Neodiprion lecontei: one gene and its partner. The protein of the gene in region 1 binds, or shares a complex with, the protein of each later gene. Links are inferred from orthologs where the notes say so. Each region holds a gene or a part of one and is shown in the gene's direction. Other genes may lie near its edges. The genes, in order: protein dispatched and sonic hedgehog protein A.

Region 1 (8,912 bases):
ATGATCAACAATTGATTGCAATGTTCAAAAGCTGTGCTCTATTTGCCTGGTCATATCTAGCGATGTATTTGCCATAAGTAAATATCGAAAATAATAACCTGCGTGGATTTGCAGGAAAAGATAAACAACCGTTAGGATGTTCCAAGTCAAACAATTTAGACGCAAATTACAAATGGATTAACGTTATCGCGATGCTGACGTCAGGGAAAAAATATTCACTTTTCTCGTTTGAAACTAGAGCTTCGAGGATAACGTTTCCATCGAAGTATGACCAAGTGTCAGTTAGTAGTCAAGTATGCACATATATTACCTTTGTGTTCCAAGCTGTCGCTATATCAACGGTTAGCCTCCTCTATATAGAGAGTGTTTTGTTTTGCTCCGGTTTTTCCCCCACACTTTATAGGTCTTTGCGAGGTTTCGAAAGCAAATTGGTTCTTATCATCGCCCCGCGCTGCGCGCACACGATCTTCCTTCTTTCTTTATTATTTTTTTCCATATATTTAACGCGTTACACACCCCCTGCTAGTCCAACTATTATAGTCAAAGGACAGGCGATCGGTGGTTGGTGGTAATACCCGCCAACTAAAAAATGGCGTCGGATCATAAGCGCTGAGCAGGATTGTGGTTTGACATACTGCAGTTGACACTGATTCAACTATCGCTATTTATCCCTAATTGTCAACCCAGTTCACAAATATTCAATTTTCAAAATATTTATGAAAATCTATAAGGAACACACAATCAATTAATCTCCACTTCAGTGTTGTTATTTCCATTTACTATTAACAATCTCAAGATGGGTGGACAGTAGCATTTCTCCAATTATGACGCACAGCCGCAAACTATAGAGTACACAGATCATTGTTCTAATATTTTTTTTCTAACGCTACTAGCGTCACCAATCGGCTCGCAGCTATGGCTTTCCCGTTGGGACTTCCCCGTTAAATTCCCTTCTCCATCACCACTATCCCCATGGCCATTGTTTATTACCCGCCATTACTCGCGTTTTCGCAGTCTAGCCAACGTATTGAAATTACACGAATATTTTAGTCATATGGAATCATGAAACGCAAATAACAAAGCGAAAAAATGTTATTTTTTTCGATGCCAAATAATGATGCTAGAGCTATCTAATATGTCGTATACGATTGTGGGTATGACACACCAATTCTAAAAAGTATAATCTCTCCGATTTATAAGTACTGCTGCCCACAGGATGACCGTTCAAATTAAGTTGTAATCACGAGGATTACAAATAGTTTTCGTTTACAGTATCAAGTTGCAGCCATTGAAGTTGATTTCAAGTTGAAACGGCATCGCGCTTGTTTTTATATGATCATTTAGGCCGCTGATATTTTTAGTTTTAAATTTATTTCTGATCTTTTATTGTCACGCTCGTAACGTTATAGCCCAGCAGCGCCTAAGCCGAAAAAACAAACTGCACAATTTTTTTGGGTTGAACTACAAAATGTAACCAATGTATTTGCGTCTATTTTTTCCGATAGTACCGTAAAAATAAACAAAATATTCGGTTTCCTGTAAAATGTAATTTTCTCAATAAAGATCGGACTTGTAGTTATATAGCCTTTACGACAAACCCTGTACCTTACTTTCCAATGTATTTAGTCTTTATAAAACTAATATGGAAGTGCAACCAAAAACTTCGAGTTTTAACGATCACTGCTGCAAAGCTATATTCAAACAGCGGATAATGAAGTATCAGAATTCCGAATTTTATTTTCGTTTACGTGTAAATACAAAAACGCGCAAACGAAAGTTGAAGGTATTTGTTATAATCGAGTTGCGCAAAAATGATTAAATTTGTCTACCGTTACCTCAAGTGCTTTATTACTGTTATGAAGTGGATTTTTGCAATTTCGTAGCCTGGTTTACTGCGCATTGTAGGACATCAGTGCGCGTGTCGATTTTTCCCAATTCTCCCAGCGTCTCAAAAGCCGGGACAACAGAGAGAAAAACGCGCATGCGTCCGTTAATCCCGACAGTAGCTTAATAGTAGAAATGACGCTTTAACCTCGAATTTATTGGTCTCTTTCAGTATAAACAAAACACTCATTCCACGCCTATATACAGTGTATAATCCAAATTTCAAATACAAATGTAAACTCGGGGGTCTTGACGGTCAAAAAATTAACCGCATCGGCAATGATAATAAAAATTACCAAATCTCTGCCTCTCTGGAAAGGTCGTCGCGATTATTGGAAATTCTCAGTGTACATCGCGAACGGTGTTTTAACTAATGTCCTGAACCCAGATATTAATTGTAATTAAGATTGCGTTGGCTTTGTTTTCTGCTAGAGCGCAACAATTGTTATATTTAAAATTAAGAAATCAAATTTTAACCGTATATTACAGACTGATGCCAAATTTCAATTGTCTTAATCTCAACGGCGTGCTATCGGTATTGTACCTACATATACACGATATTTGCTCAATTTTCCATTAGCCCTTTATTATATAGTGCGTAGAAAACTAAATAACAATAATATTAAACTTGAGGCGTAACTCAAAAGGAAATATTCTTACGTACAATCATGGAAATATGGTGGTTTTCCCGTGTCGTGGCTTATCATCCCTACGCTATTCTTGCCGCTGTTTTCGTCTTCTCTTCAACTTGTTTGATAGTCCCGTTAACTACTAAAAAATTCCCGGACTTTTCCGACCCGCAATTAGTAAGTATAACAAGTTCTTTTCCGGATAAATAATCAATCTCATCGCGTACGATTATTTATATAATCATTGATTATTTATATGTGTGGCCAAGCTTTCATATGCAACAGGGGAATCCCATGATTACAATTTCAATGCACTTTTTCTTGAACCATGAATAATGTATTTACTAGATTGCTTATATTATAGATTGATGAATGTATTCAAGATTTCATAATTTACTTTAAACCTTTTTCATTTTATAGAATGTAACTAGCCGGATTTCGTGCTTCATCGTTAGTTTTATGCTCATTCGCAATGGTCACGAATTCGAATTTCCAATTTTCATTTTTTTTTTGGTTGAATTGATAGTTTAATAAATAGACGGCATTTTTTTAAACATCAATCGCGCGGGAAATTACCTGGTCAGCAGTGCAATTTTCGTCAAGTATAAGTCATAGAAATTATGGTATATTTCAATAAATTCAGTAAATACTAGTTTATTAACATAATAATAAACTTCACAGGGTTTCGAAGCTCGAGGAACAGTCTTGGCATCGAGATTAACAACATGGCAAAATTTGATAGAAGCAATTAGGCCTCGAGGAAGTCTCATTGCAAACCCTCTGGAATATTATCATCATATTTTGCAATCAATGAGCCTAGTAAGTTATTACTATCTTATCATTGTTATTATTGATGCACGTGAAGAAGTAACAAAGTATTATTTTGTTAATAGAATGAAACTAGTTTGATGACTCACAACACAACTACCCAGATAACTGTGGATAAGAAGAATCGTAAAAAGGGTAAAAGAAAGGGTAAAAAATATGGGAAGAATAAAAAAAATACAGATACGGAGGAGCAAGGTGTGAAAAAAGACAAATGGACAGAGCTGATGGAGTTGAAAGAAAATCAGAGTTTCCGTTTGGAGAATCCAGAGACTATAAGGAATCACGCCCACTTTGATAGCGACGGTTTCTTTTGTAATTCCCCGACCGCAGCCTATGCTCGTATTGTCCTCAGATCTGTTTCTGGTACCGAGAACTTATGGTCTCTGGAAGGAATACTGGCTCAGTGTCACATTGACGCTGCGCTTCGCGCCAACAACGAATTTCCAGCCTTGTGTCAAATTCAACTCCAAAACCAGCACGGTGATACAGAAAAAAAATGCTGCCGAAGCTGGTCACCAGCAAACTACGTGGCTTTACTGTCGAACAGAACCTCTTGTCTGGGTGTTACAGAAAGTGATTTGAACAGAGTAAAACTCTTGCTGAATAGGTGTGCTCATTTTTATCACAACCTTCAGCTTACTCCAGACTGCGCTGACGACCCCGATTGCCGAAGGCATGTGACCCCCGATTGCTATTTGCACAATGCTCCGTATCATCTACTCTATTATCTTCTTGATACCGAGTTTATACCCTCTTACGTAAGTGTCTCGTCGTATACTTTTCCTTGAAAGTGCACTACTATTGGCATCTTTCACTGCGTCTTTCACTTTCATTTTCAGAATGGAACCACGTCACCTAAACTGAACACAACTCTAAATTCCGCCATGCTTTTCTTACCAATGGCTGCCAGTTCTGCCACTCTTGACTTTTATCGCGGACTAAACGAGGATGAATTAACTTACGGCAAATTCAAAGTACAGGGAATGCAGCTGGGGCTGAAGAGCACGCTCTTTGATCGCCTTTTGGTTTCAGATTCTTGTCTGCTTCTCGCAGGCTTCGCATTCGTCACAGTTTGCATATGGGCGTATACCAGCTCAATTATACTAACGGTAACAACCATACTTGCCGTTCTCTTCAGTCTGGGCATATCGTACGCCTTTTATACTCTCGTTCTCCGAATAAATTTCTTCCCATTCATGAATTTGCTGGCTATTGTTGTCGCTGTTGGTAAGAATTCTATCTCAAACGTCAAGCAATATTGTAACCTAAATGGGATTCTTCAGCCATTCAGATTGTAAATACACACAATGTTTTCAGGAATTGGGGCCGACGATGCCTTTATTTATTGCAAAGTATGGGAATGCGGGAAGCAGAAGAAATTGACTGGCGGCGGACTGGTCAGTCTGGTCCAAGAAACGATGAAGCATGCCGTTCCATCTATGCTGGTCACCTCACTGACTACAGCAGTTGCTTTCTTTGCATCTATAGTCAGCAACGTTACGGCCATAAATTGCTTCAGTTTATTTTCTGGAATGACCGTGATAGCCAATTTCCTTTTGATGGTGACCTGGTTACCGGCAAGCGTTGTTGTCTCCGAACACTGTCACCTCACCTTATTATCGCCAGCCAATTTCATTGTGAGGAAAATCTACCGCCCCCTCAGGCTTTTCCTTGGCAAAGTAGCCACTGATTTTGGCAAAGTACTTTCCAGAATCGCTATCGAGTTCAGATGGTTGTGGCTAGTGATTTGCGGATCCACAGCTGTTGCTGCCAGTCTAGTTGTCTTCCGATATCCAGGCCTACAGCTGCCAGATTCCCCTGATTTCCAACTGTTCGATAGTTCTCACCTCTTCGAAAAGTATGACTTGGTTTTCTCGCAACGCTTCTGGTTTGAAAAGCTAGAACTGGTAAGCAAATATCATGACATGATTTCAGTTTGTTTGAAAATTAACAACAAGTTTTATCTAACTATCAGTATTGCAATCCTCAGGGAGACGGCGGCGAAGTTTTGCCATTGAGATTTGTGTGGGGAGTGAAACCCGTGGATAATGGGAACTACTTGGATCCAGGAGCAAGAGGAACATTGGAATGGGATGAGACCTTTGACGTGTCGAGTAGGAAGTCGCAGCTCTGGCTGCTGCAATTCTGTCGTAGTCTCAGAATGCAGCCGTTTTATCGAAGTACTTTGGGTCCCTTACTCCCAAACTGCTTTATCGAATCGCTAAAGGCTTTCATGCAGCGGCGTTGTGTGGATCCCATAGATCTGCAAATAGATCGAGCCCCGTGCTGCGAGAACAGTACTTTTCCCTACTCGCCATCTGTCTTGGAACATTGCGCAGCTGAAGCAAACGCTGATTTATATCGCACACCCTCTTACCTTTGGGGAGGAGAATCTTCCACTTCGGCAGGACTGAAGTTCCTCAAAGAAGACGTACACCTCACTTTGAATAACACCCAACGGCCTCAACCCAAAATCAAGGCCCTGATCATAGAATACGACAGCAATTTCACGTACAGTCTCTCATTCACAGAAATGGATCAGTTTTACCGTCAGGTAAAGCTTAATCAAACTAGAAGTAAAAAGAAGAGAAAAATACTGAAACATGCGACGACAAGTATTGTCCGCTCATATTCTGGTATCATTATTTATTCACAGGTTGAAAGCTGGATGAAGGAGCAACTGCTGAAGGCACCATCCGGAATGCGAGGTGGTTGGTTCATCAGTAGACTAGAATTTTACGAACTTCAACGAACTCTTTACGAGGGTACGCTATGGGCTATGGGAGTATCGATGATCTTAGCATTGGTGGTGCTAGCGCTAGTCACGCTCAATATTCTGGTCAGTTTGTACGCGATTGTTGCAATTGGAGCGGCGATAGTTGTCACAGTCGCATATCTTATTCTGGCTGGGTGGAGGTTGAACGTTCTCGAAAGTGTTGCGGTGTCCACAGCAATTGGTGAACAAAACTTTAATCATCTCATTACGTTTTTGGAGCCAGTTTCCTTTTCCCCATTTTACCCTGAATTCTTTCCACGCAGGTCTCGCGGTTGACTTCAGTCTGCACTATAGCGTCAGCTACAGAGCTTCCACCTCCGAGGATAGAGTTGATCGGGTCAAAACAGCACTCGAGCAAATGGGAGGACCAACGCTCATGGCAGCTGTGACTAGTGGAGCTGCTGGCGCACTTATGCTTCCGTCGCAAGTCTTGGCTTACATACAAATCGGATTTTTTCTCGTCGTCGTAATGACTGTGAGCTGGATTTACGCTACCCTATTTCTCTGCCCAATTCTGGCTGTAATTGGACCGTCGCAAGGCTTTGCCCAGTACCAGTATCCGAGGTACGTGAATCTCGTCGGTGAAATCTGAAAAGGTGCGAGGTACTATCGAATTTCATCTTCTGGAGATAAAAATGTTTTTCCAGATTTTCGGCATCCTGGTTCCGTTCAAGGTTTCGTAAGGAGACAGAAGAGACTACGACTGGCGTCATGGGGAACCGTAAAGCCAAGGAACAGACCAGGAAACAAAACAGGGAGCGAGAGCGTGAACGGGAAAGGGAGCGCAAAAAAGGCCGAGGGATGCTGTCGGAATCTACACTTAGCACGTCGAGCACCGTTTGCCAGTTTCATTGTGGCGAGCTGGAAGTCCTTGCTGGGAGAGGACCGCCATCTTCATCGTTGCCACCTTCTCCATCCTCGACTCTGTTGTATCTCGAGCCTTCGCAATCGGGTCCCTCGACAGGTAGAAATAACAAGCGAAAACCGAACAACGAACTCGACTAAGAGGTGTATATGTGTCTTTCTGAATTCTGCAATCTTCTGCTGTTCAAATGGTAAGTAAATAAGAGTCTACCTAAAGTATTAAAGCTTACTGATGATTCAATGTCGTGAACGAATTGATGGACAGCTGATAAAAAAATTGGTGATTGTATCGTGTAATGCTAATTGTGTATACGTATGTGATGGTAAAGATGTTGCGGATAAAACATCGATGTACCTAACGGATAAATATAATTAATGTATCGAGTCTTTGTTGGCCGTGATCTCAAGGCTGAGGATATTAATATAAACAAGATTGTTGTTACACTGACTGTAGATTCAGGTGGGATTTTATTAATAGGTTGAAAGTTGAATCATTGTGAAAAATACAAACTCAAGTTGTAGACAACTTAAATCCAACTGAAAACTACTGGATTCTAGAGAAAACATCTGAATGACTTAAATTATAATAAGAATTACATATTCTTGGCCTGAAACAAATTTTTATGAAGTGAGATGTAGGTGCAGCTTAACGTTAAATTTTCCAAGTGTGTATATATGTGTATATATATGTGTATATATGTGTATATTATGTATATACATGCATATGCACAGAGATATGATATAACTTGAGTTATTACTACATGTTGTTATATGATCGTATGTATATATGTATACTATATTGATATTATTTTACTGCGACGTTACGTATACTTCGTAGATTATGGTGACGAGTCATTGCGAAAATCGCCAATACTTTTAAAACGACACTGTGAAGTAGTCCACTTATGTTCCTAATTTAAACGGTGTAACAAGCCATATGATATTGAAACGGGTATTCATACCTTAATAATACAATGTATTTTCAAAGGACTGGTGAATGTATTCTATATCAGTATTCAAGTAACACAATTTGCATGTGATGATGATAACGATTGCCTTTGATACAGTGACGTCTTACAGATCCTAGTTTAATTTTACCTCTTTTTAGATATTTCAAGAGAGCGTTATGCCTTCTCTGAATAAACTTATACCTCGTGAGAAATTTCATTTGTGATATAGCAGTGCTTTGAGAAGCCCTACAAACGTGTATCAAGTAAATATCATAACGATAAAGCTGTGTTAATTTAAACTATTGTATGCATCTCATACATATCAAACTTTTTAGTTTAGACATGATCCATTGGCACCTCATTTTCTACGCCGGTGATCGTTTTGTTTCTTAATTTTTACTCGAATGGTCCGCAAAGTATTATTAGTAGTAATATCATCGTGCAGAATATTTGGCAGTTATATTTCATTGCTTGGATATTATAGGTATTGTCTCTCTGAGAAGCTCAAAAACCATCGAGTTTAATTTATTTCATAATTATTTTTATACAGCTAGTATATACTATTCACTTATACATACATACTTTTATTGCTAGATAAGTATATGCTTATCAGTTTTGTAGATTTAAGTAGTAACAAAAATCGGCAATCCAGGCATAGATCAGTGGAGGAATTATTTACTGTGAAACTGTTTGATTATATATTTACTACCTAGATCTCGATGGCCCAGTAGGAACACAAAAAAGCAAAATCAACACGGAAAATTAACAGTATTACCACTTTTTTTTTTCGCTTTCTACACGTCGGGTAAACTACCTTAGTGTTTGTCATTCCGTTCGTAAAACCGTATACTCGTAATTAAATACCGGTCAATATATTGAAGAATCTTATTGAAGACAGGTTGAACGACAATAAAACTGGTTACCCTCAAATGTTTTATTTCGTTGTGCATAATTATTAAAAAATGACGACAATTTACCAAG
Region 2 (6,386 bases), on another chromosome or scaffold:
ATTCCCCGTTTATCCAGTTTCCCCGAAGTTCCGCACGTAAATCATCGCCTGTGTAAGCATCTGCCCTTCTCTCCACCCACGGAATATGCACAGCTGTATACTAAAGCGCAGGGTCTGCGGTAGAGAACGCCTGTATGTAGAAGCCTGGTCTAAATCACTAGATCAAACAAGGCGAGGATCGTGTAAAAACCCGCCTTGACCGCCAACGTATTTCCGTAATTTTTTCCTCTCGCTCTTTCGATTTTTCAATATCAAACGCCTTTCGCAATAACATCTTCACCGCTTGGGTTTATGTAGAATACTTACTTAACACCAATCTGGCACTGGAAAAAGAACAGAGTACCCGTGTCAAAGATTCACCGAAATCTGAATAGCACTTAATATCAACTCGGTAGGTAGACGGATTTTTCCATCTGTAAAAATCTATCCAACGTCTGATAAATATACCGTTTTGCACGTTATAGAATATCATCTGCACAAGCTGTGCAAATTCCAAAACGAACTTGAAAGAGTTACGCTCCGAACTACGAGACGGATATATTCGCGGAAACTGTGGCCAACATTGCCGACAGTATTATACATTACACAACTGTCATCCGCAGATCGGTTAAGAATCGGTTGTGACCTAGAAAGGAAAGTCCTCTTTCACACAGTTCTGGGAAAGTCCATTTTTCCTGATCTCGAATCATGAGGTAACAGTGGCATCACTGCCCCTGACGACGACACACCAAACGGAGACCCTGACCATAACGTTTTGCTGATAAGATATTGCGACGCGAAGGATGTAGGAAGCATGAGAAGCCAACAGTCCATTCGGTGAAACATATGCCCGATGCCCAGGTAGATACGCACGTTGAACGCACCTCGGGTAGAGGCACGTGTGAGGATGGAGTGGACTTGCAATATACCAGTTATCGTAGAAGTGATAGAGCTGCAAGGAAATGCGGCATGTGGGTGTGTTGTGTACACACTGTGCCTGCACACCAAATACGCTACATGACTGGACACGGTTAGAGGGATAAATCGTGGGTAATGGAACGGTGTTTATTATCAGTAAGCCCAAGAAACTAGCAACGCTCACGGCGCGGTTAGCAAGGCTAGGAGCTATCAGAGGCATCAGTAGCTTTCCGGCTGCCATCGGTGGCGCACAGCACTTCTCTGCTTAAACGACCAGTTGAAAAGCCCGCCGATTTACAATACAAGGCGAATCACCCACCTGAAACGTTCGTTGTTCCTACGGTTAATTCCTCGTGTTCAGAGCATATATTTTAGGGTGTAATAGGTTATTAATTGTACCCAAAAATACACATCGTTGTGCGGCAGGTAATCGGATCAACTCTTGAATGGAACTGCAGACTTCATGCCTGTACCGTTCAAACTATGTACATGATTTGCTGATTCTTTTTTTGATTTCATCCTAAGGTCAGTCAATCGACGGTCCAATTTTTTTACAAGATCGGAATACTTCAGACGAGCACTTCTTGTTTACACAGAAGATAGCCAACTGCTTGCTATGCACAGAGTTATGATAAGCAGTAAAATATTGCGTAACTGCATCGTTTCTCGCTAATGGTATCATTTCGTCATTTCGGAGAGAGTGCAAAGCTTAGAAAGAATGCTTATGAAGTATTAGATACAGGTATGCCTGACGTAATATCGTTAACTGTGAAACAATTTACAGTAAAAACCAAATCCAACTAATCAGTGTTCAGAACAAGTCTATGTGCAGGATGAAGTCGACATGATAGAACATTCGAATTAATCGCTGCATCGAAAACGACTGACGTTGAACGAGAAATAAAACCGAAAACGAGAAGTTAAAAAGGAACGATCGAAAAGTGTCGGTGACAGAAGGATATGAGAGGTGGAGGTGAGGGTGTTAAGGTAAGGGCCAAAGGGTCCGGAACGACTTCACTCAGCTGTTCCCGAGAGATAACTCCGGCAACAAACGGTCGGTGGAGAAGACATCCTCGGCGAAGATAGCCAGTGCTTCCTTTCAGAGGTTGAAAGTATCCGACGCAGTTCGGTTTCTCGGGGGGTTGAGACTCAGACTTGGCGAGTCGTTGAGCGGGAAGGAGCCGCGTTCGGTTTGGACCGGGTTGAGGATTGTCAGGGAGAGAAGCGGAGAGGAGAGAGAGAGAGAGAGAAAGAGGGAGCGATACGCCGATAACCCGGACGACACACGGGACTCTGGAGGCGGACGGACCGAGGAGAGCGATCTCTGTATGAGCGGAGGGACCGTGCGGCCGGCGCGAACCAGGAGAGGAGAGAGGACCGTTCCTCGGTGTGTATTCCTGTTGTACACCTGTCCTCGTTTACCTGGCTCGCCCCGCCCCGGCCAATCGTGGAGCAAACCGCGGGCGTGACGTCACACCTGGCGATCGCTCAGGGCGGGTGGAAGGGGGAAGTCCACCAGGAGTCAGCGACGTCGCCGGTCTCCGGCGGGCGGCAGGGTGGGGGAGGAGGCGAGAACCCGGTTTGGTCCGTCCGTGGCACCCAGGGAACACCAAACGCACCACGGGACATTTCCCACCACGGTTCGTCGGGAAAGCGGCAGTCAATCCAGGACCCCAGATCCACGTTGTCACAGTTTTGACAGTTGTCGGGCTGTTCGATACGCACCACGATTACAAATTCACGACGTGCGCCAACCGCCAACTTGCGAACACCCGTTGAATCCATAACGTCAGTTACACGTTAACGAAATTGCACGATGTTCGTCCACCCGGTTAAAGCTCGGAAATAATTATTATTCGCGAATTTTCCTTGTCCTTACATACCGCTTGTAATAACCGATCCGAGCCGATATAACGTACCGATTCACGGCGCGAATCTGGCACTTACGGCCTGGATCGATAATTACTGTATACATACCGAGACACATCGACTTAAGGGAAAACTCAGAGTAAAGAATTAAGAAGACCGCAGTTAATTGTCGGTAAAAGTGCCGTGTGATTGATCGATCTCGGGCCTTGTAGTATCCGCCTCGATTTCCGTATCTTGCGCGCGAATTTCAGCGGAGCAACCCGCGAACTGGATAAATGGCAGGCGATCGGTTCGTGACGACGTAGTCGGTACCGAACGCGGTGCAGAGAAGCAGACGTGATTTATCGTTACAGTGACAGGTGTGACCACAGTGTTATTCTGGTAAACGGTGTGCCCTCCCGCTTCCGGATCCACCGTCGTTCGCCACCCCTTGGTGCCAATCGGCGAACGCGGTGACAGTTCGCGGTGACCCGGTTGCCGGTTGCTCAATTCGCGACGTCCACGAGGCGCAGGGTGTGATGCCCTGGTTATGGCTACTACGCAGTGAGGCGAGACGAAAGAGGCGGACTGGGTCGGGATCGCACCGAAGCTGGGTCACACCAACGACGGACTGACCCTATCGCACTGGGTCGGGAAGATATTATGGTGAACGCTAAGATCGCGAGGACAAGATTCGAGCTGCGGTGGATATTGGTGTGCTTGGTACTGCTATCGTTCTGGCTTCCTTCCTTGGGCACCGGCCTCGCCGAGGGCTGCGGCCCCGGAAGGGGTAGCAACCGACGGATACGTCCCCGGAAGTTGACGCCGCTTGTATTTAAACAACATGTGCCAAACGTCAGTGAGAACACTTTGCCCGCCAGTGGACTTAGCGAGGGTCGCGTGTCCAGACACGACACCAGATTTCGCGACCTGGTGCCCAACTACAACCAGGACATAATCTTCAAGGACGAGGAAGGCACTGGTGCCGATCGCCTCATGACTCAGGTGAATATTCAAACCGATTTACCCATATCCGTGTCGAATTGTAAACGGTGCGATATACGGTTGGACCTGCAGCTGTAACGTGTAATCGTCGTTGCAACCACGGCATCCGGGCACACGTGGTCGGTCTCGGCGACGTCAAATCCGTCGCGTCAACCGGTAGATAGATAATTCCTGGCCGCTGTTTGGTGTACTCGCGTCATTGCAAAGATATAATTTCATATTAATGTATATGTGTCTAAGCATCGGTAGTTACGAGGAACAGCGTTCTGTAGAGCATATTATAACGTCGTATGTTTTCTTTCTTCCGCAAAAGGCATCATGGTTATCGTCGTAGTGCGGGTGAACGTTGACCGGCGCCGGGCGCGTATCTTCGATGCAACGATACTAGGCAAATATTAACCATTCTTGCACGTAATACATAGCACTTAAAAATTCACACTTGACTCGAGGTAAACCCCCTTACTTGTAGTTGTAAATGGTTTAAAATTCACTCGAACACTAATTGCGCTTGTACACACGACAGAAAGGATTCGCTGAAACAGCAGGAAAGGTGTTAATATCATGGCGATAAAAGTTTTTTCCTCTATTAGCAAGAATTATGTAGTTCCAGTTAAAAGTTGTTTGATCAGTTGGAGGAATTACCTGCACTTGTAAAACATTCGCTAATACAGCTAAAAGTAATTTGCTATCCGTACAGCGAGAAGTCTTAGTTTCCGTGCTAAAGGTTATACTTGGAAATTTATTGCTTTTAAATATTTATCCCGGTACAAATAATGATCAAGCGCTTAGGCTGTAAAACTTTCGAAACGGTGAGGCTGTACTTACCAAGAAATTGCGTAGTTTGTAATTTCTTGGTCTATCCGTCACTGTCGTATATTGATAAAAATATTACGGAATATGACATATTTTCGCAACGTTAATAGAATCCGCAAACACGGAAGACTGCAACCTGCGTCGCGAGATGTCTGACACATCGCTGAGATATCACTGTGTATACATAATGCTCACGATAGGTGACGTATGAATTTTTTTTCACCGGCGCAGACGGATGCTTAGATTTCATATGTGCTAATAAGAAGCGACGCTGCACAGTCCTAGGGCAATGTGGATTGAGTTAACCTAGTCGAAGTTGTCTAGCTGGGTCGACGTAAGCCTGAGGCCCAACTTAAATTTTTATACGAGTTAAGAGAACGGCGAAGATCGCACGCTAAGCGAGGAATAAATGGGGGAAAAACTATACCGAGTCCCTAAGTGATTGTGGAAAGGTTTATGGTAGCCATAACCAGTGTTTCATTTGACGCCTTGACGCTTCTCCAATTATACGGTAGATAAATTCACCAACCTCGTACTTTTCTCGATTTCGATCGTGTCACGAAGACCCTATCCTAGTCCAAATAGCGTCGCGAGACCGCCGCGTTTTGTATCTCGTAATTGACTTCAAGCCTCTTCCCTCGACCCTTTGAGGATCGGCACTCAGTTCCAATGAATCGAACATTCCAGCTTGGTCTCGATGAACAATCCTCACTTCTCACCGCATCGAAGCAACCTTCTCGCTTGCCCTTCGGGCTTCAATCAATGTATGGATTGATATGGATCTGATGTTGTAGCAAGGATTGAACCCCACGACGAGCATTGATGCTAGAAAGTGTCGTTAAGTGGTTGTCACTTGCTTGTGAGAAGTGACATCGCTTAAGATCGCAGTGTCTTTTTAGTCGGAACTTGAGTCCAACAATAAGCTTCCGATTTCGATGCGAGTGCGTCATTATCGTGCAAAATTGCAGTTAGGTGAACCGGATGACGCAACCTCTCGAAAATTCTTTGTCACGGTGCGCAAGTTATGGTTCTTTAATAGCGAGTCGACCATTTCACCCTGACCGTCCTCGAGTCTCTCCGCTTCGTATGCTGAGATGATATCGAATGTGTCATCGTTGCTTGGACGGTGTTGGGTGTCGCTTATCGCTTGACTCTTGTTGCCACATGGTTTGATACAATTACTAGACGCCACTTGTACTGGAGACACTCGGTTACGACTATGTCAGACTTTGCCACCGCACTTTACCCGTCAACTCGACGTTTCGCCAACGACATCTACGCAACCTTCGCACCCGTGAGATGAGATTTAAACGCATTCAGCACAGTTTCAAATCAAGGACCTACGAAGTCTTATCGATTCCCCCAATTTTTTCAATCGATTTACTTTCAACGCTCAAATTTTGGCCGAATGACTTTTTGCCCAAAGTGACGTTTCGTTCAAGTGCATTTGTTAGGTATACCTATGGAATTCGAAAAGACATGTTGCGGATTTGCCAAGAAAATAATCACAATATCGATCAATATAAAAAATATTTATATAAAAAGTACGCTGTATTATTCGAATGTACACTCTTGGCGCACAGTGCACAATGTACTCGATGTTACGTTTCAATTTGTGTTTATTACGATGCAGGTATTCTAAATACACGCATACCTATACATATTCAGGCTCGCGCACGTTACACAGTATCGTAAATAAATTTTACACCCATCTGCTAGAGTTTATCGATGGTTGTATTAAACTGCGGTATGAAACGTGTCTAATGTTTCACTTATAGCATCGAGAGGTTCGGTCAATGTAATCAATTACATGCAATAACACG

The links.
Region 2: the proteins of protein dispatched (region 1) and sonic hedgehog protein A are in contact, whole or in part, in a cryo-EM structure (PDB 6TD6), measured with the Drosophila melanogaster proteins. The link is inferred for Neodiprion lecontei from reciprocal best matches to the Drosophila melanogaster genes disp and hh. Residues at the interface, in NP_524734.2 of Drosophila melanogaster: His77, His78, Arg250, Tyr253, Glu296, Ala404, Gln405, Ser406, Asn407, Arg408, Gly434, Asn755; in NP_001034065.1 of Drosophila melanogaster: Tyr100, Pro101, Val103, Leu104, Lys105, Gln106, Thr107, Asn110, Leu111, Ser117, Glu164, Lys165, Val168, Ala228, Gly229.

Annotation. Positions count from the first base shown.
Region 1 is NC_060264.1:34,405,280-34,414,191, reverse strand, and holds protein dispatched, read left to right. Parts: upstream 1-1,977; 5' UTR 1,978-2,552; coding exon 2,553-2,690; intron 2,691-3,194; coding exon 3,195-3,332; intron 3,333-3,406; coding exon 3,407-4,099; intron 4,100-4,180; coding exon 4,181-4,568; intron 4,569-4,658; coding exon 4,659-5,248; intron 5,249-5,331; coding exon 5,332-5,895; intron 5,896-5,997; coding exon 5,998-6,298; intron 6,299-6,380; coding exon 6,381-6,681; intron 6,682-6,764; coding exon 6,765-7,122; 3' UTR 7,123-8,230; downstream 8,231-8,912. UniProt on the Drosophila melanogaster protein: Segment polarity protein which functions in hedgehog (Hh) signaling.
Region 2 is NC_060262.1:29,608,071-29,614,456, forward strand, and holds the start of sonic hedgehog protein A, read left to right. Parts: upstream 1-2,433; 5' UTR 2,434-3,408; coding exon 3,409-3,750; intron 3,751-6,386.